Linked DNA regions of Notamacropus eugenii. The protein of the gene in region 1 interacts with the protein of each later gene in a pairwise test. Links are inferred from orthologs where the notes say so. Each region holds a gene or a part of one and is shown in the gene's direction. Other genes may lie near its edges. The genes, in order: DTX2, ALKBH4, SPG21 and NCS1.

What was found.
Region 2: the proteins of DTX2 (region 1) and ALKBH4 interact in binary tests that used the Homo sapiens proteins (3 or more experiments, as listed by UniProt). The two-hybrid records come from large-scale screens. The link is inferred for Notamacropus eugenii from reciprocal best matches to the Homo sapiens genes DTX2 and ALKBH4.
Region 3: the proteins of DTX2 (region 1) and SPG21 interact in binary tests that used the Homo sapiens proteins (3 or more experiments, as listed by UniProt). The two-hybrid records come from large-scale screens. The link is inferred for Notamacropus eugenii from reciprocal best matches to the Homo sapiens genes DTX2 and SPG21.
Region 4: the proteins of DTX2 (region 1) and NCS1 interact in binary tests that used the Homo sapiens proteins (3 or more experiments, as listed by UniProt). The two-hybrid records come from large-scale screens. The link is inferred for Notamacropus eugenii from reciprocal best matches to the Homo sapiens genes DTX2 and NCS1.

The regions. Positions count from the first base shown.
Region 1 is NC_092873.1:51,444,235-51,451,237, forward strand, and holds the start of DTX2 (probable E3 ubiquitin-protein ligase DTX2), read left to right. Parts: upstream 1-3,985; 5' UTR 3,986-4,258; intron 4,259-7,003. UniProt on the Homo sapiens protein: Regulator of Notch signaling, a signaling pathway involved in cell-cell communications that regulates a broad spectrum of cell-fate determinations.
Region 2 is NC_092873.1:51,643,120-51,650,263, forward strand, and holds the start of ALKBH4 (alpha-ketoglutarate-dependent dioxygenase alkB homolog 4), read left to right. Parts: upstream 1-4,135; coding exon 4,136-4,270; intron 4,271-5,609; coding exon 5,610-5,807; intron 5,808-6,397; coding exon 6,398-7,012; 3' UTR 7,013-7,144. Other genes in the region: LRWD1 (leucine-rich repeat and WD repeat-containing protein 1), read right to left, coding at 957-1,073, 2,406-2,640, 3,736-3,815. UniProt on the Homo sapiens protein: Dioxygenase that mediates demethylation of actin monomethylated at 'Lys-84' (K84me1), thereby acting as a regulator of actomyosin-processes.
Region 3 is NC_092872.1:127,366,298-127,374,282, reverse strand, and holds the start of SPG21 (maspardin), read left to right. Parts: upstream 1-4,984; 5' UTR 4,985-5,120; intron 5,121-7,985. UniProt on the Homo sapiens protein: May play a role as a negative regulatory factor in CD4-dependent T-cell activation.
Region 4 is NC_092872.1:481,788,527-481,795,784, forward strand, and holds the start of NCS1 (neuronal calcium sensor 1), read left to right. Parts: upstream 1-4,243; 5' UTR 4,244-4,728; coding exon 4,729-4,792; intron 4,793-7,258. UniProt on the Homo sapiens protein: Neuronal calcium sensor, regulator of G protein-coupled receptor phosphorylation in a calcium dependent manner. Directly regulates GRK1 (RHOK), but not GRK2 to GRK5. Can substitute for calmodulin. Stimulates PI4KB kinase activity.

The DNA.
Region 1 (7,003 bases):
TGACATGGGAGATATTGGTACAGGATCACTCAACATGATGCGCCCACGTCAGAGAAGGTGCTGTGCTCTGAAAGCAAAGCAGAATTGAAGTAGCTCAAAAGAAATGCGAGATGTGCAAATTTGGAGAATCCACCCCAAATGTTCTCATGGACTATTTGTGCCTGATCTGTGGTAGAACATTCTGAGCTCATATTGGTCTGATCAGCCACAGTCCAATATACTGCAACTTGACTCTTAGCATAATGATTTCATTTTGGTCCTCTTGGAGAATGAAGGACAACAACCAGTCTGTGAGATCTTGGTTGATTCCCAAGAAAGGTCAGAAGTTGCCAGCAATCAAAAGTAATACAGTTATTAATGAAAGGCATGCAGGCACTAGGGTCCTCAGCACTTTAGTTTCCTAGGAAAGTATGGGCGTTAGTGGTGCAAGCATAAAGTGGGCCTTGTACCCCACTCTAGAGTCCAGAAATCTGGGTCTCTGTCCTTATATCTGATTGCTGTTGTGGGGGCAGATTCACAAGGACCAAATGAGGCAGTCATTTTAGGGACATTCAATCAATGAGTGGCCAGGACTACAATGCCCTTTAGCAATGGCAGGGCCATTGGGATTAAGAACTTTTGCTAACCTTGAGTAAAGGGAGAGTATGTTTGCTAAACTGATTATGGTTAAGAGAGTCTAAATAAAGCTGGTTTAAATTAGAGGTGTCAGATTCAAATAGAAGTGAATTTATGCTCCATTTTGACTTAGAATACCACAGATTAACATCATCTATGTTACACTGTATTTTTTATTTATTTTTTTTAAACATTTCCCAATTACATTTTAATCTGATTCCTCCACTTCAGGGTGCATAAGTCTGATATCTCTGGCTTAAAGCAGCTGTGAGGTACCAAGGAACTTCCCAGAACATAGGCAGGTGAATCAGTAGTCAATTACAGTACCAGCTGGAGCCTAGCAATAGGCCATTTCTCACGGTATCTCAAGAACAATTGATACAAACCTCTTCTCCATCCCCTCCAGAATGTCTGCAACACACTCTCTCACAGAATCCGTGGGAATGTGGGCTCAAGTTTAGAGGACCCATATAGCCAAGGCAGATCCCTGGGAGTCCTTTCATTGGATCCTCAAGATGGTCCCCCTTAGGTGTGGTGTAGTTTTTCTGCAGAGTTCTTGGTAGCACCTTGAATTGGCATCCAGTCTGTCTTTGGTTCCTAAGGCAGACAGCCATGACTTGATCCAAGAATGCTGCCAGGATGCCAGCAGCAAGTTGGGAAGTTCTCCAGGACTCCAAAATTCACTAGGTTCTCCTCTGGTGTAAAGTGGGAGTGGGTGTGGAGACACTGTGAGAGGCCAAGGCCTGGAGCTCTTCTCCCCTTGCAGGAATTTAGCTGAGTATACCCTTCTCTCTGCTTTTTTGGACGTCCTTATTAACCCACTCCTGGTCTTTTCTATTTCAACCCCAGCAGGCTACTCATCCTGGGGATGCTTCTGCCTGGTGGCCCCCTCCTCCTATTAGTGAGTTCTTGATTAGAACCACCCTTTGGGGCAGCTAGGTGGTGCAGTGGATAGAGCACCAGTGCAAGAGTCAAGAGGACCTGAGTTCAAATCTCACCTCAGGCACTTTACATTCACTAGCTGTGTGATCTTGGGCAAGTCATTTAACCCCAATTGCCTCATCCTGGGTCATCTCCAGTCATCCTGATGAATGTCTGGTCACTGGATCCAGATGGCTCTGGAGGAGAAGTGAGGCTGGTGACCTGCACAACTCTCCCTCACTCAAAACAAAGTCAAGTGCAAGTCAGGTCATTTTTTCTCTGATGGCATGGTCTTCTTTGGCAACGAAGGATGAACACACAGAACCACCATTTAAGAAGTGCACAGGCCATCCATGCTCATGTCTCTCCTGGCTCCTCTCCTGACCCTCCAGACTTTTCCACCTTGCCCCTACATAGGTTGTGTGTGATTTTCCTCCATTGGAATAGAAAGTCCTTGAGGGTAGGAATGACCTCTTGTCTTCTCTCTTTCTCTTTGCTCCTCTCTTTGTTCTCTCCTTTTTCTCCCCTTTTTTCTGTTCTGTCTCTGTCTCTCTCTCTCCATCCCTCTTTCTCTCATTACAGTGTCTGGTACATAATAGGAATTCAGTTGATACAAACTGATTATCAGTGCTAAGACAGTTTCTTAGAAAACTGTGAGATGCCCCAGAAAAACTCCATCTCACTGTGAAAACCCAATTGTCCACTCCCCAGCCTCCACCACACTCCAATGTGGTGTATCTGACAGTCTGTGAAATCAAGTACCAACAGGGAGGTGGGGGTGGGGTGGGGGGTTCTGACCTGGTTTTCTATATGTCTCATAGGCCATCGCAAAATTTCTTCAACAAATAAGAACACCTTCTATACACATTACTCAAGTTGATTACTCAAGGACTTTTTTCATTACTTAGTCTAAAGCCTATGATTGGTTGGTTGATATGCTCCCAACTGGCTAAGGTTCAAGGCTGAGGCATAGAGAAGAGCTAGAAACAAGACACAGAGGTAGAGAACAGGACATATTTAGGGCTATTGAGAACAGACCAGTTTGGCTGGAGCTTAGAGTCTGTGTTTAGGCAAACAGTGCGAAATAGAGCAGAGAAGGTAAGATGGTGCCAGATTGTGAACCTGTCTCAAGTTCCAGGTTGCAAACGCCCTGGAGGTAATAGTCATGGAAAGGTTTGATAGCAGTGATAGGTGTGAAGGATTGGTTTGCAGGAAAAGACATTAAGTAGGTTTTGGACTTATTGAGTTTATAATATTAATGAGTCATTTAATTTTTTTATTGAATTACTTTATTTGTTTTCAGTGTTTGACAATCACTTCCATATACCTTAGATTTTTTCCCACTCATTCCCCCCTCTCTCCCCTCTCCCTCCCTGAGAGGGTGTACAATCTTATATAGGTTCTACACTCGTACATTCCTATTAAATTCTATGTTGCATAGAAGAATTAAAATGAATGGGGGAAACCATAAAACAAAACAAAACAAAACATAATATAATACAAAAGAAAATGGTCTGTTTCTGTCTGCCATCCAATTCCATAGTTCTTTCTCTGGATGTGGAAAGTATTTTGCCTCAAGAGTCCATTGGAAATTTTTTAAGCCCGTGCATTTCAATGAAGTACTAAGTCTACCAGAAAAATTCCTCCCACCGTGGCCCACGCACAAAATTCTCCTGGTTCTGCTCCTTTCACTCAGCATCAGTTCATAGAAGTCTTTCAGGCTTCTCTGAAGTCTCCCTGTTCATCATTTCTCCTAGCGCAATAGTATTCCATTACATTCATATATCACAACTTGTTCAGCCATGCCCCATTTGATGGGCACCCCTTTGATGTCCAGTTTTTGACTACCTGTCATTTGATTTGAAGATGTCCCATAGGAAGCTGCAAGACTGGACGTCAGGAAAGAAGTTAGGGGAGATAGTAGATTTGAGAATCACCAGCATAGAGTTCTTAATTAAACCTCTGGGTGCTGATGACATCACCAAGTGATGTAGTTAGTAGAAAGGGAGAACAGAGGAGTGCCCAGGACAGAATCCTGGGGGAACCTGGGGTTAGGAGGTATGATCTGGAGGAGGATCCAGCAAAGGAGACAGAGAAGGAGCGGTCAGAGAGATAGGAGGAGAACCAGAGGGAAAGGGATGTCCAGAAAACCCAAGGGGAGAGTGCATCAAGAGTCAAGAGGCCAGAGCGGTGGCCAGAGTCCAAGGCTGCACAAGCCTGGGAAGGTCACTGTGGCACGATGAGGTCAGAAGCCAGCTGCAGAGAGTTTACAAAGTTACAAAAGGGAAGTGGAAGGAGCAACTGTAAGCAGGTGGGCCGAGGGGGCGATGCCCCTGCCTCCAGGCACCACGCCTCCTTCCCAGCCGGCTTCTGGTTTCTGTTTCTTGGCCCCGCCCTCCGGGGTCCGCTCCGCCTTCCCGAACACGAGTCTGGAGTGCGCAAGCGCACTCGGGGCTCCGCCCTGCTCCAGAAGGGTCCGAACAGGTGAGGTGGCCGTGGATCCCCGCCCTGGGGACTACGATTCCCGGAGGGCCGCGCGCCGGGGCATGCGCATTGAGGGGCGGCGACGGAGGCGTTTCTGTGGAGCTGCTTCCCTTCACTCTGTGTGTCGCTCCGGTCCGTCGGCCCTGCCTCGAAGCTGAAGCCAGCTTGGACCGGACCGGCCTTTGCTGCCGGCCGGGCCGCCTGAAGCCCGGTGGCCCCAAAGCAGCCTCGAGCCCCGGTAAGAAAGCGCTGGGCGCGGGAGGGACAGGCCCGGTCCCGGGGTCAGGGGCGGGGTGGGGAAGGGGCAACCAGGGGGCGGACTGGGGGAGGGGGCGGGGGACCGGGTGAGGAGGAACCCGAGGGAGAGCCCTGGGGGAGGGGGCCCGGAGCGGCGACCCGAGGCGGAGGCGGGGGCGGGGCGGTGGGGGCGGGGCCCCGGGCCCGAAGGCAGCGCCGCCCGGCGCGGACTCGGGGCTCGGGGGCCGCCGTCGGAGCCCTCGGTCGGGCCGCTGAGCGGCGCGGGACACCCGGCCACATCCTCGGGCGCTGCCCGGCCGTTCGGGGGCGCGGGGACGCTTGCTTGGGAGTCGTCTCGGTCTTCTCCCCTTCCCGGGGCTGGGATGCCCGTTCTCGTTTTAAGTTTCCTCTTTTTCAGCCCTCTTTTTGTGGGGCCGGGCTGACTTCCCAGGCACTAGGGTAGATTCGACTTCCTGAATTCACGGCCAGGCTGCATTTTGCCCATTTTCCAATTCCACAATTCTGTTAGGCACCTGGCATGTGCTGCTCTCTTAGGCGTTGGGCATACAAAGAAAAAAATGAAACAGCCCTTGCTCTGCCCTTACCTCCTAGTGAAACAAACTCGTATAAATATTAGGGAAAAATACATAAAGAATAATGCGAAATAATTTGGAGGTCTAGCCAGGAACCTCGGGAGCGCCCCAGGCTCCCACAGACCAACTTAACCTTAACGGGAGAGTATTCTCCTTTGGTCATTACCTTCGTCTTAAAATTTAATTTGGGGAGACTTCCACAATGAACTTTAGAGATAGCCTACATCCAAGTTTCCCCAAATGTGTCCCAGGTTCTCCAGCTCCTGCTTAGGCACACAGGGTCCTAAAAGGCAGCTAGCTAGGTATAGGAGTCTAGAGAGTGCTGGGCCTGAAGTCAGGAACACCTAAGTTCATAGGGTGCTTCAGACACTAGCTGTGTGACCCTGGGCAAGTCACTTAGTCTCTGCCTTCCTCCATTCTAAAAGGGGATGATAATAATGGCACCTGCCTCTCCGGATTAAATGAGGTAATATTTGTAAAACTCTGAACACACCGGGCCTGCCGCATAGTTGTTCCCTTCCTTTTTCTAAAAACACATTGGGTATGGGACAACTGTAATTTCATACAGAAGATGTACAAGATTTAAAGGACTTAGAAAGCTCATGAACAAAAACAAATAAGCTCTCAAAGAGTCTATTAGATTTCCCCCACACCTCTCGTAGCATCCTTTTGGGGGAGGGGGTGAACAATCCTTCCCGTCATATCTGCATTGTTCAGTCAATTCATGCAGTAGCAGAAAGCATTGGCGAGGTCCAGGTCTCCTGTACTTTTTTTTTTTTTTTAAGGAAAAATTACAGGGTGAGTTCATACTAATGCCACTGCCTGCCACCCAACTCTAGGATTCCTGGTGGCTCAAAATCAAGGACCTGAGTGCTCTGCTGAGTGGCAGTGGCTGTGCTCATAACTCCTGTCTTTTTCCCATCTGACACATAGGGAGAGGAGATTTGATGTGGGTGCTCCGATCCAAGGGCTAGGGTGTGAACTTGGGGTATTCCCTCAGTTTCTTGCTGAGAAGAGACTTGTATGGGATCCAGTGGACTCTGGAAACGAATCTGCCTATGTTACCAGTGCCCCAGCTGCAGGGAGGCCGTTCAACAGCTGTGCTTCTGTTTCCATCGCTGCTGTTTTTCAATTAAAATCTGATCTCCCTTGTCATTGGTTGGCAGACAGACACAGATGGGCCTTGGAATTTGTGGGGCTGAGTCAGCAAGCCTTTGAGATTGGCCTGGTTTCTGTTGCTCATATTTAATATCAAAATGCAAATCAAACCAAGCCTTTCCCTTCCGTGTGTCTCCAGTTTGTGCCAGTTCTCTGGAGAGAAAAGACCAGAATGGATAGGATACTTTGGCTTTGGATGTCTCCTTCCCAAAGTGGCTTTGACAAAGGAGAGTGGAGGTGTGGGAGGGGAGGGGGGCTTAGGGTGGCTTTCTGCCAGCTGCTGGTGTTGAACTAGTCTTTGAAGATTAACTTTAGTGCTCTCCCACTTGGAGACTGACTCCCTCAAGTGAGGGCCACTTATCATGAAAGTCTCGAAGGGAAACTTGTGTTTTTGGTTTTTACGTGAAGGATGCATACATATATATATACATATATATTTGTCTTCTGGTAGCTTTTGGTGCATTCTAAAACAATCAAATCTCTTAATGCTAGGCATTAGAGAGGAAGTCTCCCGAAGCCACTTGGGGAGGCCCAGAGGCTACACTGTTGGGTTTCCTTATGTAATCATCCTGGTGACATGTCATATCATGTTGAGTTGCCTTTACTCTTACTCGGTCCTGCCTTAACTTCTAAGGTGGCACTGCATGTAAGAGTGAGGCTGAAGCCTGGTGGTTGTCCTGATGGTAGGACTTTGATTGAGGGAACAGGCTGTTAAGTCAGAATCAGAGGACCCTGGGCTGTCCATGGTTTAGATGAAAGTTCTTTTCTTCTCCATTAAAATCCTCTCTGATGCCTCCTAATGGGACAGACTAATGCCACTGCTTGCCACCCAACTCTAGGATTCCTGGTAGCTTGAATAAAGAGCCCCCACTGGGCTTTTAAAGACTGCCAGCAGAAGGCAAGCTTCAAAGGCTTCAAAACTTGCCTAGCTATGTTGGGAAATTCTTATTGCCAGATTGACCTTAGGGTGTTGAATTTTTCTGGTTGGGCAACAC
Region 2 (7,144 bases), about 200 kb from region 1:
CAAGCCAAGACTGGATGATCAAGTGATAGGTGAGCTGAAATGTGGATTTTTCAAGTTTGGGTTGATTCCAGTAGGCAATCATGTGGAGGGAGAACCTTGTAAGCAAAAGGGAAATGGCCTGTCCAAAGATTTGATGATGTGGGAGATGGAATAGTGTCCACAGAAGATGACGAATAGACCAGTTTGGTGAGAAGATGACAGAGAGAGATTCCAAGGTTTTAAACTTGGGTGACTACAAGTATGGTTGAACCCTCAACAGAACAAAGGAAGGAAGCAGAAGTGCATTCAGTGAGAAAAACAATGGATTCCACTAGAGATACATTGGGTTTGAGATGCCTACGGGCCATCCCAAAGATGGCTGGTGTTGGGGGCCTAAAGCTACATCAAAATACTGAAGTAGATACTGTGTTTCCTCAGGCAGGGAGATGGTGAAGATTCCTATTAACAGCAATTACAATAGACTAAATTTCCTGGACCATCCATTCCCTCAGAGTACCCCCGGGACAGCTGCCAGGGCAGACCCCTTGGCAGGCAAAGTGGTGAAGCCTCTGCTGGACACAAACCACGCCCCCCCCAGAATGACGTTTTAAAAATCAAAGGAAATGCTACATTTCAGGTAAAGATGAATGAAAACAAGGATATAATTTTTTTTTCCATCTATAGCCAAGGACCCCTGGAAATTTATCCACCCGTACAGGTTAAGAACCCCTATTTAGACAAACTCCAAAATGATAAATCTGTAAACATATAGTAAAGGTCAATTCGCGTACTGAGGGCCACTATCTGACCTGTGAGGACAGCATTAGCAACACTTTCGGTGTTTCTATCAAATCATATTTTGGGGGGAGAAAGCACTTGTTGACCTCAGGGGAACTTCTTGAGCTTACAACATCCAGCAGGAAGTTTTATGCACGGCCCCTGAAAGGTTCCCCACCCTGACCTCTTGCCATCCTTACTCGACTGGTCAGTTCCCGGTTCAGGATCTTCACATGATTCATCAGTGAGGCTGTTTCCTTTCCATTAATTTTTCTGATGTTAGGGAGTAGAGAGGAGATCTTGTAATTGTCATTGACCTGGGGGTGAATACAGACAAGCTCAGGAACAAGCAATCTTTGCCACCAATCCAGACCTCAAGCTACCAAGTCCCAATGTCAGAGGTAAATGTCCCCTGAGAGACCAGCTGATTAAATTCTCCTCACCTCCCTAGCTCCCATCAGTTTTACACGGGAGCAAACTGAGCCCCAGATATCTTAAATAACTTCCTTACAGCAAGTCAGTGGCAGAGACGGATCTCCTGAGGCCCAGGCTAGTTTGGTCCCCTTCCCACTGGACCATGATGCTTTGCCACAGGCACCACTTGTAAGCTCCCTGAGCTCTGGGTTCTCCTCCAGCCTTGGCACAGAGGGCCCCTTCCCAGCTCACGTTCCCTCTTCTGCCAGGCCTGGCTTCTAGATGAGACTACAAGCTTCCCATTCCTGGAATGTTCTTCCTTTTTACCAAATCCCTCTCTTCCTTCAACACTCAGCTCAACTCCCACCTTTTACAAGACACCTTTCCTGACCCCCAGCCCTCCCCCAGAGCCCTCCTTCCTAATTACTTTGTGTTTACTGTTTACTTATTCTGAATATTCCTTCACAGATGTGTTATCCCTCTATGAATTCCATGTGCTTTGAGGGCAGGGCCTGTTTGGTCTTCCTGGTGGCTGTGCATCCCTTACAGTCCCCAGCACAGGATCCTAAACCTGGAGCTAAAGGGGCCTCTTGAGGACCATCTAGTCAATCAGCAAACACTCACTAAGCACCTACTATATTCGAGGTACCATGTTAATTGCTGGGGATAGAGAGAAAAACAAAAGATGGTCTTTGTAAGTGTAATGGGGAGACAACACACACAACTGTGCACAAACATGTGACGTACAAACAGTTATACCTACGTATACACGTATTATAGTACAGGTGTGCTTGTATTTAATGTACATGCATTTATGTATACACATGGTTACATAAAATTAAACAATATAATACACATGACACAAGACATGTGTAACACACATGTGCTATAAACAGACAAATGCATGACATCACACATATGCTTGTATATCACATTATGTATGTTTTTAAAGAGACATGGCTACACACAGGCTAAATAAGAAATAATCAACAGAGAGAAAGCACTGGATTAAGAAATATCCTGTTCAATTAGATGAGAAAATGAGAATTTCTGCACTTCTAACATGAGACCAGTAAGGTCATAAGGTGTCAGAGGTGGAATCTGAACTCAGGTTCTCCTACTGGATTCTGTGCCTGTTTCCATCCATCCCTCACTCTTCCCATAATCCACAGCACCGCACACTTAGTAGACACTTCCTAAAGAAATGCCGGTGGATGACCCCTGCCCCAGCTCACCGTCAGGTATAAGTTGTCCTCGAAATCCACCTCCTCCAGAGCTGTAAACTGCTGCAGGGGGGTGACATCCTCCAGCTGGTTGTTGGAGCACTTGAGGACCTGCAGACAGGGCAGGTCCAGGCCCTCAGGCACCTTCTCCAGCAGGTTATCTGACAGATCCAGCTCCTTCAGCTGCTTCATTCGATTGAGGAGTTTGAGGTCCAGGTCTTTTGTCTGAAGCTGAAGGTTTGACAAACTGTGGTGGGGAAAAGGGGGGAGGGGGTGGAGGGTCTAAAGGGCTGGGCTCCCCCCAGTCTGGTGAAAACTGGGGGGCTTTCTTCTCTGGGTGTCTGGTCTCCCCCACCACAGGGTGAGCTTCCTGAGGGCAGGGTCTGTCCTTAGCATGCTTTGCCCTCTCCTTGACTGAGGGGGAAGCAGGGGGAAGGATGAGAGGGGACATAGTGCTTGGGGCACACAGGGACAAGGGTCAAAAGTAGTTTTGAACCCCTTCATTCAAGGAAGGGAGTTGTGTCGTCCCTTCTGCCCAGGTCACTCTTCTGGCTCTCCATAACAAGTGAGGGACAGTTCGGTTCCACTGGGGCAGGAGGAGGGTTGGAGCACCAGTCACAGCCCTGGGCAGGAAGGGGGGCAGGGACTCCAGCAGCCTGCATAATACGAGCAGCAGCAGGGGTACCACGGAAAGTACAGTCACACGGAGGGGAGCCGGGCCCGGCACCAGGGCGGGCACTAGCGGGCAGGAGGCCCTGGCACCAGAACGGGCACCAGCGGGTGGACACCAAGGGGCAGGGGGCCCCGGCTCCAGGGTGGCCACTAGCGGGCAGGGGCCCTATCCCTGACCCTCAGGCCCGGCTTGAGCTGCGCCAGGCACAGGACCCCGCAGCGAAGACCGACGTGGGCACGCAGAGAAGCACACCGGGCAGCTGGCGGGGGCACGGAGGGGGCGGGGGTCATCGCGGTGGCCACCTTAGCACCTGTGGCTCCGGGGCTTGGGGGCGTGGCGGCGAGGGTGCGGACACCCGCACAGGCAGAAGCAGCTGGAGGGCAGTGTGCGTACGCACGCGCACAACGCACCTCGCGGACACGCACGCGCACAACGCACCTCGCGGACACGCACGCGCACGCAGTCACCAAGGAGCCAGAGGGGGACACAGAGACAGAAGCGCCGCAGGGACGCACGCACACTGGCCCCCAAAGGCACCATGCGGAGGAACACGGGCGCGCACGCGCACACTCGCACCACGCTAACGCACGCACACGCGTGTCCTCCCTCCCCCGCGCACACATACATATACGCGCACGCGCGCGCGCGCACGTCCCCGCCCAGCCTTACTCGAGCTTCTTGATCCTGCCGAGCCGGTCGGACTTGGGGTAGCCCCTCTGCAGTAGCAGCGGGGTTTTGAGCCGGCCCATGGCCGCCGGCCTTCGCAGGCGCACGCTGCCTCCCCGCCGCGAGGCCCTGCACGCCGAGGCTGGCCGCCACCTGGGGCTGTCTCCACGAGCTCACCCGGGGCCCGGACGGAGGCGACGCTAAAGCTCGGAGCGCGGCCTCGGCCTCTGCCGGCGGTTCGAGCTGGAGAGGTTCGCGCGGCGCCGGCCGGAAAAGGGCCCGGCCGAGCAGGATCCCACGTGTCCTGGCCCCGCGGGACTACCTCTCCCAGCGGCCCCCGCGGCTCGCGCCTGCGCACACGCCCCGCTGAGGCTGCCCGCCCGGCGGCGTTCCGGGCACCGGCATGGCGGCTGCGGGCGGCGGGGGCCGGAGCGGCTGCGGGGCGCGGCCTCGAGGCTGCGGCTGCAAAGGAGTCCGGACCTGCCTGCTGTGCGAGCGGGAGCGAGGCGGCGGCGTGCCCGGAGCCCTGCCCCCACAGGTGGGAGTCGGTGGGGAGGGGCGCCTGGGCCTGGGCGGGCACCCCCCTACTTGTGTGGCTTCGGGCGGGGCTCTTCACCCCAGGGGCTTCGTGGGGGCGGAGACGTCGTCAGCTCCATTTCACAGACGGGCAGACCGAGGCCGAGAGCCCTGAAATTGGCGGCCGCCGCCAGCCCGGCTTGGGGCCCTTGTCCTTCCTGCGGTGCTCCGTCTCCGCTCTGCCGCCCCGATGAGCGGCGTGGGACGGGCGGCCCTGCCCATTCTAGTCCCCACTGCCGGTGGGAGCCGTCCTCGGGCGCTGCTGGGCCCCGCCGGACGGCCCCCCTCCTCCAAGGCCGCCCCCGTGACCAGGCTGCACCGTGTGGTGGGACGGGCACGCGTCTGTGCGGTCCGGGTCAGCGAGGATGGGATTCCTGCGGGGCCTCTCGGGGGAGTCTTGGGAGGGCCGATGGTTGTGTTCGTCCTTCCTTCTAAGAGGACCGTGACATCAAGATGGTGACATGACTTGCAGCTGACTTTGGTCTGAGGGAGGGAGGGCTGCGCAGGTCACCAGCCTCACTTTCTCCTCCTGAGCCATCTGGGTCCAGTGGCCTGATGTTGGTCCGGAGGACTGGAGATGGCCCAGGATGCACTGGGAGACCCTGGCCCTTTCAGGCTAAGGTCTTCTAGCATTCTCACTTCTACACCCATTCAGTGAATAGGCTTCTTTAAGTTACTCAAGGGATGGCCTCTTTAATCCAAAAAAACCAAATCAAACTGGGAGGGGAAGACCCTCAGGATTCCTGCCTAAAAGAGAAACAGTTATGGGCCTGGGCTGGAAGAAAGAATGGGGGAGGAGGGAAAAGAAGAATCAGTGAAACTGGGGGCCCCGGGGCTGCAGGGAACACTGAGTCAGGAGGGGCTGGTGGCTGGGGGGCAGTGATAGAGGGGGAGCAGGCAATGGGCAGAGGAGGAGAGACTTGGATATGCTAGAACCCAGGAACCGGGGAGAGAGAAATAGATTGTTAAACTTCCAGCTTCTCAGGAAAAAGAACATGGGATTGAGATTATCTACCCAGGGATGGCTGGGAACAGAGCAGTGAATTCAAATCCAGCCTCAGACACTAGCTCTGTGAGCCTGGGCAAGCCACTTCACCTGTCTGCCTCAGTTTCTTCTTCTGTAAAATGGGTATCATAATAGCACTTCCCTCCCAAGGTAAGGATCAAATGAGGTATAAGGTGCTTAATGAGTGCTTGTTTCCTTCCTTCCCTGGTGAGGACAGAAGATGATCATGGAGACTTGACCCCTGAAAATGAAACTTGCTCATTCCAGGACCTTGCTTCTGTCTTTTCCTCTGCAGAAGACAGCCCATTTCATCTACTGTTCAGAAACGGGTTTGGCTGTAGGAACAGAGAAATCAGAATTTGCTGGCTGGGCTTTTCCTTTCCCAGGAGTATCTCTGATAAAAAACTTTGTTAGTGCTGAGGAGGAAGCTGAACTGGTTCGGTTAATGGATCAAGATGACTGGAAACTTTCACAGTCTGGAAGAAGGAAACAGGTACAGCCTATGCATCACCATTTGCAGAATTGTTTCTGTGGCAAATGGAACCAGCCACAGGTGGTTGATGGAAGTTGCTATCCCCTTCTGCCGTTAGTGTTCATCTTGCTGTGTTATAGCACTTCCCAGCTGTGTTGTGTACCGATAACAACGCCCTCCCCTGAAGTCTTCTTCAGCAGAAGCCCAAGCTCAGGTGGATCCTACCAAGCCAGAAAGGTGTCCAGCTAGAAACACCATTTGTCTGGGGAATCAGCTCACTGGAGGGCTCATCAAGTGGCAATTATTTTGGCCAGAGCAGCCCCCAGAGACCATCTCCCAAGGTGTGCAGGGAGCTCAAGCCCCATAGCACAGATAGGGGAGCACTGGTGGCCCCCAGATACAGGGCTCAGTGGCTGTCATTGAACCATGGCTAGTTTAGGCCTACAGACATTTGAGTTAGAAATCCATTCTACCTGGATATCTTTGTTCAACTCCTTAGGCACTTACTTCAGATTTGTTTGATAAGGAAATTGCTGGCTGTGAAATTTTTTTTTTAAGTGAAAATCACCATTCCTTTTTCCTTGCCCTCTTCTGTTTTCCCCTTTCTATAGGACTATGGCCCCAGAGTCAATTTTAGGAAACAGAAGCTGAAACCTGGCAGCTTTGATGGCCTGCCCAGCTTCAGTCGGGAAATTGTGCAGAGGATGGGGGTTCACCCCATCCTGGAGAGGTTCCTTCCAGTTGAACAGTGTAACTTGGACTACCACCCTGAACGAGGCTCTGCAATCGACCCCCACTTGGATGACTCCTGGCTCTGGGGAGAGCGGCTAGTCAGCCTCAATCTGCTCTCACCAACAGTCCTATCTATGTCTCGGGATTCAGATGAGAGACTTCAGTTACTCTCTGTGTCCCAGCAGGGAACAGGGAACTCCTTGCCCAATGACACAAAGATGGGAGACCCAGAGGAGGGTCAGAGCACCTGGAGATCTGTTCCGTGTGACCTTGTGGAAGTGGCCATTCACTTACCCGCCAGGTCCCTGCTCGTGTTGTTTGGGGCTGCCCGCTATCAGTGGAAACATGCCATCCACCGCCAGCACATTGAAAGCCACCGAATCTGTGCCACCTTCCGAGAACTGTCAGCTGAGTTCTGTCCTGGAGGAAAGCAGGAAGAACTAGGGCAGGAACTCCTGGAAATAGCTCTGTCATTCCAAGGAAAACCTGTGTGACAGTTCTAGAGAAAGGGAGCCAGTACCCAGATTTGTCAAGAAATGAGTCCAGGACCCAACAGCGCTACTGATCCTGAAAACACACAGTTTTAAGAAAAGCACACTTGAAACCCGGAAGCCAAACGTGGCACC
Region 3 (7,985 bases), on another chromosome or scaffold:
AATCAAAACATGATACACAAAAACATACACATACACAAACATGATCTGCTACATTCTGCGAATGACTTCCATATTTCTTTCTCTGAGTGTGGAAGGCATTTTGCCTTAGAGAACCACCACTGGGATTTTTTTTTTTTTTAAGAAGTTCTTGTGTTATTACGAAATTCCAAGTCTACCAGAAAAAACTCTCGCACACTGTGGTCATTGCTGTGCACAAAGTTCTCCTGGTTCTGCTCCTTTCTTTTTTTTTTTTTTTTATTAATTTTTAACATTTATTTTCACACAATTTTGGGTTACAAATTTTCTCCCCTTTTATCCCCTCCCCCCCCAAACCCGAGCTTTCTAATTGCCCCTGTGACCTATCTGCTCTCTCCTCTATCCTCCCTCCCTGCTCTTGTCTCCGTCTTCTCTTTTGTCCTGTAGGACCAGATAGCTTTCTTGACCCCTTAACCTGTATTTCTTGTTACCCAGTGGTAAGAACATTACATTTGGTCCTAACACTTTGAGTTCCAACCTCCTTAGCTCCCTCCCTCTCCACCCCTTCCCCTTGAAAGACAGGCAATTCAATATAGGCCATATCTGTTTAGTCTGCTCCTTTCACTCAGCATCAGGTCATATAAGTCCTTCCAGGCCTCTCTGAAGTCTTCTTGTTCATCATTTCTTATGGCACAATAGTACTCCATTACATTCATATACCATAATTTATTCAGCCATTCCCCAATTGATGGACATCCCCTTGACTTCCAGTTTTTGGCAACTACAAAGAGTGGTGCTATAAATATTTTTGTACATGTGGGACCCTTTCCCATTATTATGATCTCTTGGGGATACAGTCCTAGTAGCAATATTGCTGGGTCAAAGAGTATGCACATTTTTGTAGCCCTTTGGGCACAGTTCCAAATTGCTCTCCAGAATGGTTGAATGCGCTCGCAGCTCCACCAACAATGAATTAGTGTTCCAACTCTCCCACATCCTCTCCAGCATTTATCATTTTCTTGTTCTGTCATGTTTGCCAATCTTATAGGTGTGATGTGGTACCTCAGAGTTGTTTTGATTTGCATCTCTCTGATCAATAGTGATTTAGAGCATTTTTTCATATGATTATAGATATCTTAAATTTCTTCTTCTGAAAATTGCCTGTTCATATCCTTTGACCATTTATCAATTGTACCCCCCCTTTTTTTTTTTTACAAAACCAGGTTTTCTGTTCCCTTTTGCCTTTCACGTGCTGACTCAGCTTGAAGTTCTTACTGTATGTGAGGCTGTGGCAGTAAGACTTATTGCTTTGGAAATTCTGAGAATCCATAGGGTTATTTGTTAAAAGCATACTTCATGGACATTCTGGTTTTCAGCTAAGTTTCTAACAGATGACAGTATTGTGAGAACCATCTGGTGGACCCTACCCACAACAGCTGCCAACCCCTCTTGTGAACTATTAAATCAACAGTGAGCATTTTTTTGTATCTTAGCCATGCAGTCTCCTTGTGCTTAAGTGGGCTTCTGTCTTTGAAAAGTATACTCCAAACAGCTGTGAATTAGAGGCAGCTGGAACATATAGATAATAAATGTATCTTACTCTTGTAAAGATTTAGAGAACATACCTACCATTTGTTGTTGCATAATTAAAAATATAAATGTCAGCATATCAGTGGTATCCATTAAAAGGAGATACAATCAAATTATTCATTATGTGTTTGGCCCAAATATTATCTTTAATATTAGAAAAGGAAAGTTTTCACAGCATGTATAGATAAGGCCTGGCAAATATGGACGTATCAGTATTTTGTGTTGTGAGGGAAGTGTTGTTGCTGGCAAAAGGGGTGGGTAGCATTGGAGATTTAGGTTCTATAAAACCTAGCTTCAGGCCTATCTAGCATCATTATAGCATCATAGTATCAGAGAATTTTAGAATGATTTGTAATTATGAGATTGGCACTGGAAAAGAATTGAGAAAATATATATCCTTTCTTTGCAGAGGTTGGAACTCTGGAGTGTAGAATCTTGCAAATATTGGCAGATATAGTTACCAGGTTATCTGGTTTCCTGAACCGTTTTTTTTTCTCTTTATTTTTTATTCTTTGATATAAGGGATTAGCTCATTGAGAGTAGGTGGGATATATTAAGGTAGTTAAAGCCAAAAGGTATTTTAAAATATAGAGCTTTATCATTGGAAGAAAAATTTAAGATACTCTCATAAGATGGTAGGCTAATACCACTTCATGTTTATGTATTAGTTGACAAATCCATTTTTTCAAATAACGCTGAGAGGCAGGTAGTACAAATTACGGGTGTAGAAATTAAGGCCTCGAGTGGACTAAGTGACGTGCCTAAGGTCACATACCTAGTAAGTACTGGAGACGGGACCAGGTGGTCTGACTCAAAGTCTCAGTCTTTGTTCTGGGCACCATGACTCAAATTGTATTAGCTTTTGGGGATTCCTAAGTTATACTGTTGACTTGTATTGAGTTTCCAAGTCCTAGGTCCTCTGCAGATTAACTGTCATCTAACAATAACTACCAACCTTGTATTCCTATAGTTAAACTTTATCCTATTCCACTGGGCCCATCATTTTATTAAAATTTTATCTTTTGTTTTTTATGCCTATATATCTCAAATATCCCTCCCCAAGACTCATTCCCTGTAATCAGTGATTTTTAAAAGAAGAAAAAACTTAACAAAATCAATATATTTTTTTTAAAGTTTGGCATTATAAGCAGTGTTCCACACTGGGTTTGGGAGTTAGATGGTGCTTTCTATACCCTTTCTTTGGGGCTAAGTTTGGTCCTTATAATCTCACAGTATCCAGTTTTCATTTTGTCATCCTTCCATTTTCTTTGTTGTGGTAATTAAGCATGCCACTTTCCTCATTGTTTCACTTTGCATCATTTCAGAGGTCTTTCCACACTTCTCCATAATCATCATATTCATTTGTTATAGCACAGTAATATTCTATTACATGCATATCAAGTTAACAAGCATTTATTTATTAAGCACCCACCATGGGCCAAGCATTGTGCTATGTTCTGGAGAGTCAAAGAAAAGTAAAAAACAATCACTGCTTTCAAAGAGCTCACAGTTTAATGGGGAAGACAATGTGCAAATAATATATTTATAAAGGATATGCTGGGGATAATCACAGAGTGAAGACACTAAGAATATGGAGAACTAGGAAAGGCTTCTTGCAGAAGATGGGACTTAAACTGAGCCTTGAAAGAAGCCAGGGAAACCAGGAGGTGGAAATGAAGGGGTACTGGGGGTGGGGATGGCGAGTGAAATGTATAGTCAGGAGATGGAGTATCTAAAGGAACATCAAGCATCACTTGATGGAAGCATTTGTGGTGGAGGGTAAGGTACAAGAGAACTGAAAAGGTAGAAGGGACAGTTATGAAGGGCTTTGATGCCAAAGATTTTATATTTGATCCTAGAAGTAATAGGGAATTATGGGGGCTTATGAAAGTGGGGCATGTGATACAGTAGGGTCTATGCTCTAGGAAGATCAGTTTGAGAGCCGAGTGGAGGATGGACTGGAGTAGGGGGAGAGATCTGAGGTAGGGAGACCAGTGGGCCACTGCAGCAGTCCAGGAATGGGATAATGAGGGCCTGTACCTGGGTGGTGGCAGTATTAGGAGGGAAGGGGGCATATATGAGAGATGTTACCAATGTAGAAATGCCCAGACCTGGCAACTGATTGAATAGGAGAGACAAGTGAGGAGTAAAGGATAACCTCAGGGTTGTAAGCTTGGGTGACTGGGAGAATGATGGTACTCTTGGCAGTAAGTAATAAGGGTTAGGAAGAATGAAGGAGAGTTTGGGGGAAGATTTTGGACTTGCTGAATTTGAGATCTCTAGTCAGAGATGCCTAATAGGGAGTTGGAGATGAGAGACTAGAGGTCAGGAGAGAGGTTAGGGCTGGACAAACAGATACCAGAAACATCTGCATGGAAATTCACGGGAGTTGAGATCATCAAGCCCAATCATCCAGAAGAGGAGGACCTAGGGCAGTCTTCAGGGACACTCATGGTCAGCAGACCTGCCCTAAATGAGAGGGAGATGGAGCACTCAGACGGCGAGAGCACCGAGACACAGAGAGACTGTCAAGGAGACAATGAGGACGGAGAGCGGCCCGCTGGTTTCAGGTGAGCGCTGACGTCTGAAGCCGCACCTGCCGAGAGTTCAGCACGTGTTCGGCACGTGTTCGGTTCCCAGTTCTTCACTTTCACACAAAGTACGGTGGCACATTGCGGGGCGCACAGTGCCTTTGTGTCCTCTGGTTGGCCCGTCACTTCAGACTGGAGATCTGAATGCGGAGTCAGGAACTCGGCCACGTTTTTAGCTGGCGGAGCGCAGCGGGAAGGGCCAGACCCGGGGCCAGGGCGGGGGGCGCGGGGCTCCAGCCACCTGCCGCTGGATCTTGGATGGGGGGGTGGACCAGACCTAGGCGGGGCGTTCCAGCATCACACCTCGGAACCTTGCTCCCACAGGGCATCTCTTCAACACTCCCTGTCAAGCGTGGGGGGATGGGTGGTTTGGGGGGGACGGCAGGAGCGCGGGGCGCTCACTTCGGGGACAGGCCGAGGCCTCCTGGGGCTTAGACCTAGGGCTAGACTGAGCGACTTGGCGGCCAGCTGCGGGCAGTCCGCACGGGCCATCCCGGGCCGCTGCCCCAGCCTCACCCCAGAGTCCGGTCAGACGGCCGGTCACTCTGATGCTCCCACGCGGCCGGGGAGGCCAAGCTCGCCAGTCTCTCCCTCGCGCCAGCGGCAGGGCTCCAACGGCCCGGGATCCAGGAGCATCCCGCCGCAGTCTCCGTAGTTATGGAGACGACGGCCACCCCACGCGGACTTCCGCCTCACGTGACGCCCCGCCCAGCGCGGCCCCGCCCTCGGCCCCGCCCCCGGAAGCGGCGCGGCCCGGCGGCCCGGGACTGTTGGGCGCCGAGCGGAGCGCGGTCCGGCCCGCACGGCTGCGCGCTCCACCCCCGGAGGCGGCCCCTCCCCCCCGCCCTGCCTGTCGGCTCGGCCTTGGGTACGGACGCCGAGGCAGATCCGCGGCCTGGGTCCGCGGCGGCTCGCCACGAGAAGCCGGGGCTGGGGAGGGAAGCGGGGGCCGGCCTGCGGCAGGTGAGGGAACCCGGGCTGCGGGAGGTGTGGCCGGGGGCGCCGGCGTGGGAATGGCCCTGGGACGGTGGGGGGGGCGCGCCCCCCGCTGCGGGTCTGGGACTGGGGACCCCGGGGGAGGCGCGCGGGGCCGCATCCTTAGTGCGAGAGAACCCGGGTTCGAGTCCCGCTTCCGACACCCCGGGCAAGTCCCTTAATCCCTGAGGCCCTCGCGACTCCCCGAGACCGTAAGTTGCAGGGCAGGTCCCGACCCTGCGGTGCCGTGTGCTGGTCCTGTGCGTGCAGACACGGCCTCCGGGGAGGCTTTCCCAGCTTGCGGTTCGTGCCTCGGGGCACGCAGGCAGGAAATGCTGGTAGAGACGCCGGTGGTGGTTGAACCGACTCCACGACCTGCTCCGGGCGGGGGCATCGGCCCGGGTGGGACGGGCGCCGCAGGAATCGCCGGTTGGAGCGGCTCGCGTGCGGGGATGTTCCCGACCCGCAGAACGCGCCCTCCGCGGCCGCCTTGCCTCTGCTGGATACTTTGTTACTCCTGGAGACTCGCAGAGCAGTAACTTAGTAGCCGTGTGCGACGCCTCGGGGGTTGTCACGCCATCCGCTCTGCCTCCCCCGGGCCAGACAGCAAGAGGAAACGGCCTGAAGTCGCTGCAGAAAGGCTGGAGGCAGATGTGAAAATGGATTTACTGAAAACTGGGGGGAAGGTTTCCCTGGCTGTGACTCTGGCCCATTGACGTTGGTCTAGTTAGGTTGGCAGGTCTGCCAGGAGCCCCCCGAAAAACGAGACTCTCCTATTAACATTATTTTTGCTGTCACTGTCAGTTTACACATACAGGCTTTATTCACGAGGTGTAGTCATGGCCTATAGACTAGGATAAGGGACTTGAACTGCAAGTGAGGACAGTGACATTTCACTTCACGTAAGCTGAAAACCATTATTTGGATTCCAAGGAGGCAGGTGCTCATCATCTTGAAATCTCTTACAAATGCCAAGCATCGTTAAGGGATAGGTATCGGAGGAATCTGGGATTAAACGGAAGCTTTGATGTTTACACATGCATGGGTTGGGACTAAAAATGTAGTGCATTACTTACGGAAATGGAAAAGAGCTTTTTTCTCCCTTTAAGTGGTGGAAAATTTAACCATGTTTTGATTTGTGCCCTTTGCTGATTAAACCTAACCAGCGTGGTCAGACTGTTAAGCTTTCATTGCTCATAGTTTATCCCCCATGTGAATTGGAAAAGTTAAACCCTCTCTAAAGGGATGAAAAGGATCTTTGAGAACAAACTTTCCTTTTTCACCCTGTTAGTTCCCAGCTGTTTTCTTCTCCCAGCTGTGAGGCTTTTTCACTAAGCAGTCAGTTGCTCAATCAACACTTGGTATCTCTTACCTTTCGTATACTGCCAGAACAGCACAAGTGTTAAACATAACTTGCCTTGAGCGGTAATTTAGTCCCTGTCCAGGGAATCATTAAGTCTAGAAGTCTATAGTTAAAATGAAATAATTTTTTTCTACATTACCAAGAAATATTGGTAAGAAACATCTTTTGTTTATAATATGTATATTTGATTATGATATGCTTTGGGAAAGAAGTTAAGGATGGGTATGATGTCAGTGTGTGTGTAAATACATATTTTTCTGCCTTTTGTGTCTTTGCAGTTCCAAACTTAAGAGCTCATTTTGTTCTCAGTTTGGTGATTTGGAAAGCTCATTTATTGGCCTTATTATCTATTATCTTATTATCTAAAATTATCTAAAATCAGTTTTATAAATCTAATAAGTAGTTTTCCATTCCTAAGCAAGATTAGAATGTTGCCTTCTCAGAAAAGACAGTTTATTTCTTGTAATGTAATTTTGTAATGGAACTTTAAATTCATTGTAAACTAAGTAGATTTTTTTTTTAAATGACAGTAGCTTGAGTCCATTCAGGTAAAAATTAGTGTGCCAGATGCCTTAATTTTGATAAAATGACTAGCCCAAAGGATTAAGATTGTAGTTGGGGAATGGGGATGGATTTTTTTCACCTTTAAATATACATTCTTAAGAATTAGAAATGAATCCAAGCAGAATGAAATTTCTTTTGCTTATTACAAATTTTTAATGGCTACCTTTATGCATTCGATAACCTCTTTGGGTTTTTTGTTTTTGCAAACTCTCTCATGTCCTGTCCTAATTTACCCTTTGAGATCAAATTGAGATGATAGGCAAGTGTCTCGATTGAGAATGAAATGTTAATGTAAGAATATCCAGCTTTAATTACCTTTTTGAGTCACATACATTTTGTTGGTAGAACCCTAAAGTAACACTTAGTTATCTGACAGAGCCTATAATTTGTGGAAACAAACTGCTCTAGCGTCCTGTTTTTCTTAAAGGCAGTTTGGTTCCAGGCCTCTCCGTGGTTAGAGGCTTTGGGTTGGGAAGAATTTTCCACTTACGTTTAAGTGTAGCAAGTTGCCCAGATCTAGGCTCCCCATAGTCCAAAGATCCCACAAGTTACAAGACCCATCTTCCCGGGTTCTTAGTTGATTTGTGGAGTTAGAGGATATAGTAGAGGAAAGTAATTATTTGCAGACTTTCCTGAGTATTGGGTTATGTGGTTGTGCAGGTGTTAATACTGAACTTAATTAGAATGCTTCCTATGATTGTATCTGAAACTTCTTGCAGCTGATGAATGTGGTGAAAGTTTTTGCTAATTAATTAGAATATAAAACCAGTAACTATTTTTAGGTTTCATTGTAGATCAGTAAAGAAGAATATTGTCTTAAGACTGGCCAACTGACCAAATATCATAGAATAATTGTAGTAGAACTAGAAATCATGTGGTCTGACCTCATATTACAAATGAGAAAACTAACCCTCAGAGACGTGAAG
Region 4 (7,258 bases), on another chromosome or scaffold:
ATCTGCATTCAGACTCCATAGTTCCTTCTCTGGATGTGGACAGTATTTTCCATCATGAGTCTTTTGGAATTGTCTTAGATTATTGTATTGCTGAGGACAGCTAGGTCTATCAAAGTTAGTCATCTCATAGTGTGGCTGTGACTATGTACAATGCACTCCTGGTTCTGCTCACTTCACTCAGCATAAGTTCATGTAAGTAAGTCTTTTCAGGTTTTTCTGAAATCCACGTGCTCACTATTTTTTATAAAACAATCATATTTCATTACATTCATATACCGCAACTTGTTCAACCTTTCCCCAATTGATTGACATCCCTTCAATTTCCAATTCTTTGCTACCACACAAAGAGCTGCTACAAATAGTTTTGTACATGTGGGTCTTTTTCCCATTTTTATGATCTCCTTGGGATATAGTTTCCTCATATACCTAGTAGGGGTATTGCTGGATCAAAGGGTATAACAGTTTTATAGTCCTCTGCACATATCAAAAAAGCATCTATTAAGCACCTACTATGTACCAGGCATTGTGTTAAAGGTAAAAAAAGGAATCTATATTCTCAAGGAGCTCAGTATAATACAGGAGACAATATGCAAACAGCTATTTGCAAACAAGTTAAATACAGGCTAAATGGAGGATAATCAGCAGAGGGAAGACACTAATGCTGAGGAAGATTAGAAAAGGCTTTCTATAGGAGGTGGGGTTTTTAAAGTCAGGGAAGGCAGGGAACAGAGTCTTCACCAGGGTGGGATTGGTGTCAGAGGACAGAAGGGGCAGATGTGAGATGGGGAATTTTTTTGGCTCTACTTATACATTCATATAAGAGATGTTATAAAGGTAAAATCAACAGGAATTGGCACTAGATTAGATGTGAGGGTAGGGAATGAGGGAAGAGTTGAGAGGGAGGATGTAGGTTGTGAGTCTGGGTCACTGGGAGGACAGTGGTGCACTTCACAGGAAAAGGGAAATTGGAAACAGAAGAGGGAGGGACATGTTGAGCTTAAGACACCCATTTTGAGATGTCCAATAGACAGTTGGAGATGTTAGACTAGACATCAGAAGAGAGGTTAGGCCTGGATAAGCAGAACTGGAAATCATCAACATAGAGATGATAATGGAATCAATGGATTCTGAAATGGTATAGAGGGAGAAGAGAAAAAGGCCCTGGACAGAATCTTGGGGTTCACACATGATTAGTGGGCATGACCTCGATTAGTGGGCAATGAGGACTGAGAAAAAGTGGTATAGAGGGAGAAGAGAAAAAGGCCCTGGACAGAACCTTGGGGTTCACACATGATTAGTGGGCATGACCTCGATTAGTGGGCAATGAGGACTGAGAAAAAGTGGTCAGTTAAGATGAGGAGATCCAGGAGAGGTTAGTGTCAGGAAAACTTGAAAAGAAGAGAATATTGAGAAAAGGATGACTGATGGTGTCAAAAGCTGCAGGGAGGACAAGAATGTTGGGGATTGAAGAAAGACCATTAGATTTGGCAATTAAGAAATCATCAGTAACTTTAGAGTAAGAAGTTTAAATTAAATGATAAGATCAGAAAGCCATACTAAAGAGTCACAAAGAAAATAGGAGAGAAGGAGGAGTAAGCATGAAGTAAAGATAGTTTTCTCAAGGTGTTTAGCCATAAAATGGAAGAGAAATATGGGATGATGGCTATTAGTGATAGAGCAGTGTAGGTAAAATATATATATATTCAGGAGCCTCTCAGGTTAGTCTGTGGTTCTAGTAGAGTGGACAAGCTTCCAGTTGGACTCCATACATCATGATATGTCCCAAATCAGAACACAGAGGACCTGGGTGGCTGTAACATATGTCTTCACCTGCCTTTTTTTTTTTTTAACAGAGATAAATTTCAGCTAGGTAGTTTCACTGTGAGAGTGGATTGTGTTTGTCTTCTCTCATCCCAGGAGAAATAGGATCACTTCTTTCCCCCATTGAGCTTTGAATTCCAGTTGGCATCTTTCCAGTCACTGCCATTCCCAGAGGGATTTGATATATCCCTGGGACTGATATTTCTCTCTGTGTTTTACCACATTTTCACCTTAATAAGCATGTTTGTATATATGGATGGCTACTAGAGATGTTTGCATTTTCATAAAGTTGACTCAAGAGAATACCTCTCCAGAGGGATTTTAAAGTATCTTTTACCTAACATTGTAATAGTTTACATTTATATGACTCTTTGAAGTGTTCTATACATCATTTTGCTTGATCTTCACTATAGACTTGCTAGGTAGATAGTTTGAGTATTAAACTGATTTTAAGGATAAAGAAACCAAAGGCCTAATATACTTTCTGCTGCTAGACTGCCTGTAAGGTACATGCTCCCAGCTTTCTTTTTTAACCAGTCGTTGATCTATTCTCAAGATTCATCTTCACCAGTTTTAAGGAGATTCTTGGTAATTAAAGGTTAAAATAAATATTGTTCCTGCCAGATGCCAATGTTGAGCATATCTTGTTATGCTTTGTAACATGGTTGTGAATATTTTCATTAACATCACTGGAGCCCTTTGTTAGTGCCCATTTTCATCTCCATTTCTAATCTCTACCACACTTGAAAATAAGAAAGTTTGACTCTTCATGACCCCATTTGGGGATTTCTTGGCAAAGACACGTTTGAGTTTTTCTTGGCAAAGTGGTTTGCCATTTCCTTCTCCAGCTCATTTGACAGATGAGGAAACTGAGGCAAATAGGGTTAAGTGACTTGCCCAGTATCGAATTGCTAGTAAGTATCTGAAGCCAGATTTGAACTCAGGAAGATGTCTCCACCTAGCTACCTGAGTAAAGCACCCTATAAATGCTCTCATATCTGTAAAGCCAAAGAGTGGAACAAAATTACCTCTAAGCACTTTCAGGTCCAAGTCTATGAGCTTATTTCTTCTTTCTATTCATTGATATGATGGTTTGTAAGTATTCTCCAGTCATTTGTTGTCTATTACTACCTTCCCAACTAACCATAAGCTCCAAGCGTGTGTGTGTGTGTGTGTGTGTGTGTGTGTGTGTGTGTGTGTGTGTGTGTGTGTGTGTGTGTGTGTGTAGAGATAGACGCCACACGCAGGAAGCATGGAGGATGATTGCCTCAGTCTGGAAAGGGTAGCCCTCAATTTGGGGGTGGGGGTGGGAGGGGAGCAGCTTCTTAGCCTCTTCTGGGATTCCTGATTTCTCTTTCTCAGTTACATCTGGCTAATATAGGAAAGAACATTTATCTAGAGATGCGACATAAAGTAACATAAAATTATTTCGTGGATTGACCTTTCCCAATTCCTCCCCAGGAGCTGTGGAAGGGTGGGAAGAAAATTAGATTAAGGAGACAAGAGCAGAGAAGGAAGGAACAATTTACCCTCCTACATTCTTTAAAGTTTACAATGGCGAAACAGATGCAAGTATTATTTCCTATTGTACCGAGGAGGAGACTGAGGAACCAAAATGTGATTTGCCCATTAGTTATGGCAACTGATAAGTGTCAGAAGATTTTAAGTTGCTCGGAAAAGGGAGGGAAGGGTGTCTTTTTATTAGAGGAGGAAGGAAGAGGAAGGATCGAAGGGAAAAGGGGAGAAAAGGGAGATCAAAGGATCACAGATTTAAAGCTGGAAGGGACTTTATTAACCTTAGAGGTCATTGAGTTTAACGGTCCCCGCCCCCCCTCCCCCAAATTTACAGACCAAGAAACAGTCAGAGAGATAAAGTGACTAGGGTCTTGTCCAGGGTCACACAGCTGGTGTCTACGATTGGATTTGAACTCAGGTCTTCCAGACTGCAAATCCTGTCTAGTCATTACGCCACAGGAGAAGAAAAGAAAAAGTAAAAGGAGAAGATTGGAAAGAGGAATGAGCAGGGGAAAGGAGAGGAAGGAAGAGGGGAAAGGAGAAGGAATCTAGTGGATGGGGAGGAATGAGGGGAGGAAATGAAAGGGGAGAGTGGGTGCGGATGAGGAGGGGAGAAGCGGGGCAATAAGTAGGTAGGGAGAAGGGGAGAGGACCCCGCCCTGCCAGCACGGAGCAGCCGCGCTGACTGACGGCTTAGGGTTAACACCTCCTTCTAGGCGGCCGCAGAGCCTGGGCTAGCTGGTAAAGGCGGGGAGGGAGGAAGAAAGAGAGTGCGAGCGAGGAGTAGAGAGGGCCCGCGGTAAGGAGCATGTGCTAGGGAGTCCAGTAACCAGGGACAACCACAGCAACAGAGCTCCCTTGGAGGAGGAGGAGAAGGAAGAGAAGGAGAAGGAGGAGGAGGAGGAGGAGGAGGAGGAGGACGAGGAGGAGGAGGACAAGGAGGAGGAGGAAGAGAGCAGCCCCGCGCCCCCGCGCCTCCGGGCCTCCTCCAGGAGCCAGCGCACACAGCAGAGCCCCGAGGGCGGGCGGCAGGATTTGGGAACTGTAGGTGGAGAAGGGACTGAGGCTGCCGCCCCCGGGCCTGCGGAGCCAGCTCCCCGCGGGCTGGGCATGTAAAAGCCTCTCGGGATCTCTGTTCCCGGCCTCACTCCGAGTCCCTCCGGGAGCCCAGGGCGCGCGGAGCTCAGCGAGCTGGGACCTCGGTCAGCACCGAGAGAGCTGGAGACAAAGACACCCTAGAGCCCCCCGCCCCTGTCCCCTGCTCCGAGCCGGTGCAGGGCCGCCTAGGACGAGCCCCCGCGGCGGGACAGGGGAGAGCCGGCTGGGCCTGGAGCCGCTCCGGGGTTTATGCCCTAGTCGGTTCGGGCCCGGCGGGGGACGTGGCCGCAGAGGATGGGGAAATCCAACAGCAAGTTAAAGCCTGAAGTAGTAGAAGAACTGACCAGGAAGACCTACTGTGAGTAGGGAGGGTCTTCCCTCCTCTTTCCCCATCCCTCTTTCTCCTGTTCCCACATCTCGTCCCTTCCCCAATCCCCAATCTTTCCTTCTCCCTTCCCTTTCCTCCTCCTTTCCCTTTTCTCCTCCTCCTCCCTTCTCTTACCTCTTCTCTCACCCCCATTTTGCCCCCCTCCCCCATCTCGTCCTCTTTCCTTCTCGTCTCCTCCCATCCTTATCTGTTGCCCTCCCCACGCAGCTCTTTTCCGTCCTCCCTTCCATCCCTTTCTCCTTATTCTTCCTCGGTTTTTTACCTAGTCTCCTTCTCACGTTAATCCCTTTTAAACACCTACCCTTGTCAAGCTGCTGTGATTTAGGAGACGGGCTATGGGGGCATCTTTCTCTCCTGCTTCCAGCGTTCACACCTGGCCCCATTGTTCTGAAGTCTGATGCTGCCCCGCAGCTCTGACCAGGGTTGGGCCATGTGCTGTTGCTGTCAATTGTATTTTTATGTCTTAGTTTTCCCCGTCAGGCATTCCCTAACACTCCTCACACCTCAGGCCTGGGCACAGTGTGTCCTCGAAGGCCCACTTTGCTATTATAAAGTAGCTTCCTAATAACAAGATTATTGGTGCTGCTGTGACAGCGTGGATTGCGGAGAGAAACGGGGTGGGGTGGGGTGGGAGGAGGATTTTTTCATGTAGAGGGACTCCTGGCAGCATCAAGCTGGTGATCCTGGCAAATAGGTATTCGATTTGGGAGTAGCTCCAGAGGGTGGGTGATTCATGCATCACCGTGTACTGGCAAGGTGAGCTGATTCCCACCCCCCTCTCCTCCCAGGAGTATGTGGATGGGGGGAGGGGAGGGAAAGGAGGGTGCTCAGTCTGCTGGGAAGGTTCCTTCTTGACTGGGAGAATTTCAGGGAGAATTCTTCATTGACTTGTCCCCTCCTTGATCCTTTAGGGTTAAAAACTTAAAGTACCGAGAACTGGGAGAGGAGAGGAAAAGTTGTTAATTCCATCCTCCAGTCTCCAGGTCTAATCTGCATAATGTGTCTCTTCATACCATCTTCATCCCTTGCATGACTTTCTAACTTTTCAGCTTCCCCTAATGAGTCCCTATCTCTGTCCCTCAATTCATATCCTTTCTGTATCTGCCTTCCTGCCTCTCTTAGACATGATCTGCAGGCTAAGTCTTGTTAATGGCAACTTGGCTATAACCACCTTGGCCTTTGCATATTTCTAGCACTTTGTGCTTAGGGTTATCAATCTGCTTTCAGAACCTATGGCTTCCCTATAGGTTTCTTGGGCTGTTTCTTTTTCTTGTGAAGGCCAGATAGCTGCCCTTATGCCAGTCCTCAAGCTCCAGGCTTCTCTGCAGGAATGGCAGGCACAGAACACCTGGGTGTCATTCTCACTCACCACTGCAGTGCTGCCTCTATCCATTCCCCTCCCCCTCAAACCCAGAAGGCAAGAGATTAACATCCTTCAGGTCCAGGGATGGAGGAGAGTCAGGCAGGCAGGCACCCGTGGTGCATTGCACAACCCTAACTAACCCTCTTCGCTGCTCAATCAGACTGCTGGGCAGCATGGCATTGTGAGCCCATACCCAGCCTCTATTCCCTTTTAGCCAAGCCTAGATGCTCAGAGAACAAAGGGTCAGGTTCTAGCACCAGATTGCCTGTTGAACAGGGCTTACTCTAGCCATTTCTATGGGTCCTTAGTCCTTGGAGTTTCCACTGGGTGAGATTATCTCAAAATTAAAATTCTAGTGTTTAGTTTCTTGATGGATAGAGGGAACAAAGGGCTAAGAGCTGTGTCCTTAGCTAATGTGTTACAGAGTGGGTGGGAGATTGAACTTCTTTTAACATCTCTATTCTGCTCTTTTGGATAAAGGATGAGTGGTATGGTATGGTTGATGTGAGCCAGAGGCTTGTGGCTTATAATATATGAAACAGTCTCTTTCAGTTGGGCTGCTCTCTCAGTATCTTCTGGAGGGTCAACTGGAGAGCTTCAAATTCTGGTCAGAGGTGGGGCCTCCAATGCAGGATGACAATTCTGGGTGACTTTTTTAGATCCCTTCCCTCTGTAGGGGAGAATGGCTCCCATCAGCTAAAGAGTGCTGAAATTCAGGTCATCCCTCTTATAACCTGGGAACTTACATTAACTAGGCTTCTTTCAAAGTGCCCAGGGCAGGGAGCCCAGTAATTGGGGAACTATGAGATGGCCCTATTCATTATGAAAAGTCCATGGCAATAATGTCCAGATAATAATTGTGGAAAGGGAATTCAGGGGTTATCTAATTCAGCCTTCTCATTTAAATAACAATAGCTTGTATTTAGCTAGTGCTTAGAGATTTGTCCAGTACTTTTTATTTACTTATGTTATTTCATTGATTCTCAAATCAAACTGAGGCCCCAAGATTGTTATGGCTTGCCTCTTACTAGGGATAGAGTCTGGATTCAAATCTAGATCCTCTGATCCCACAT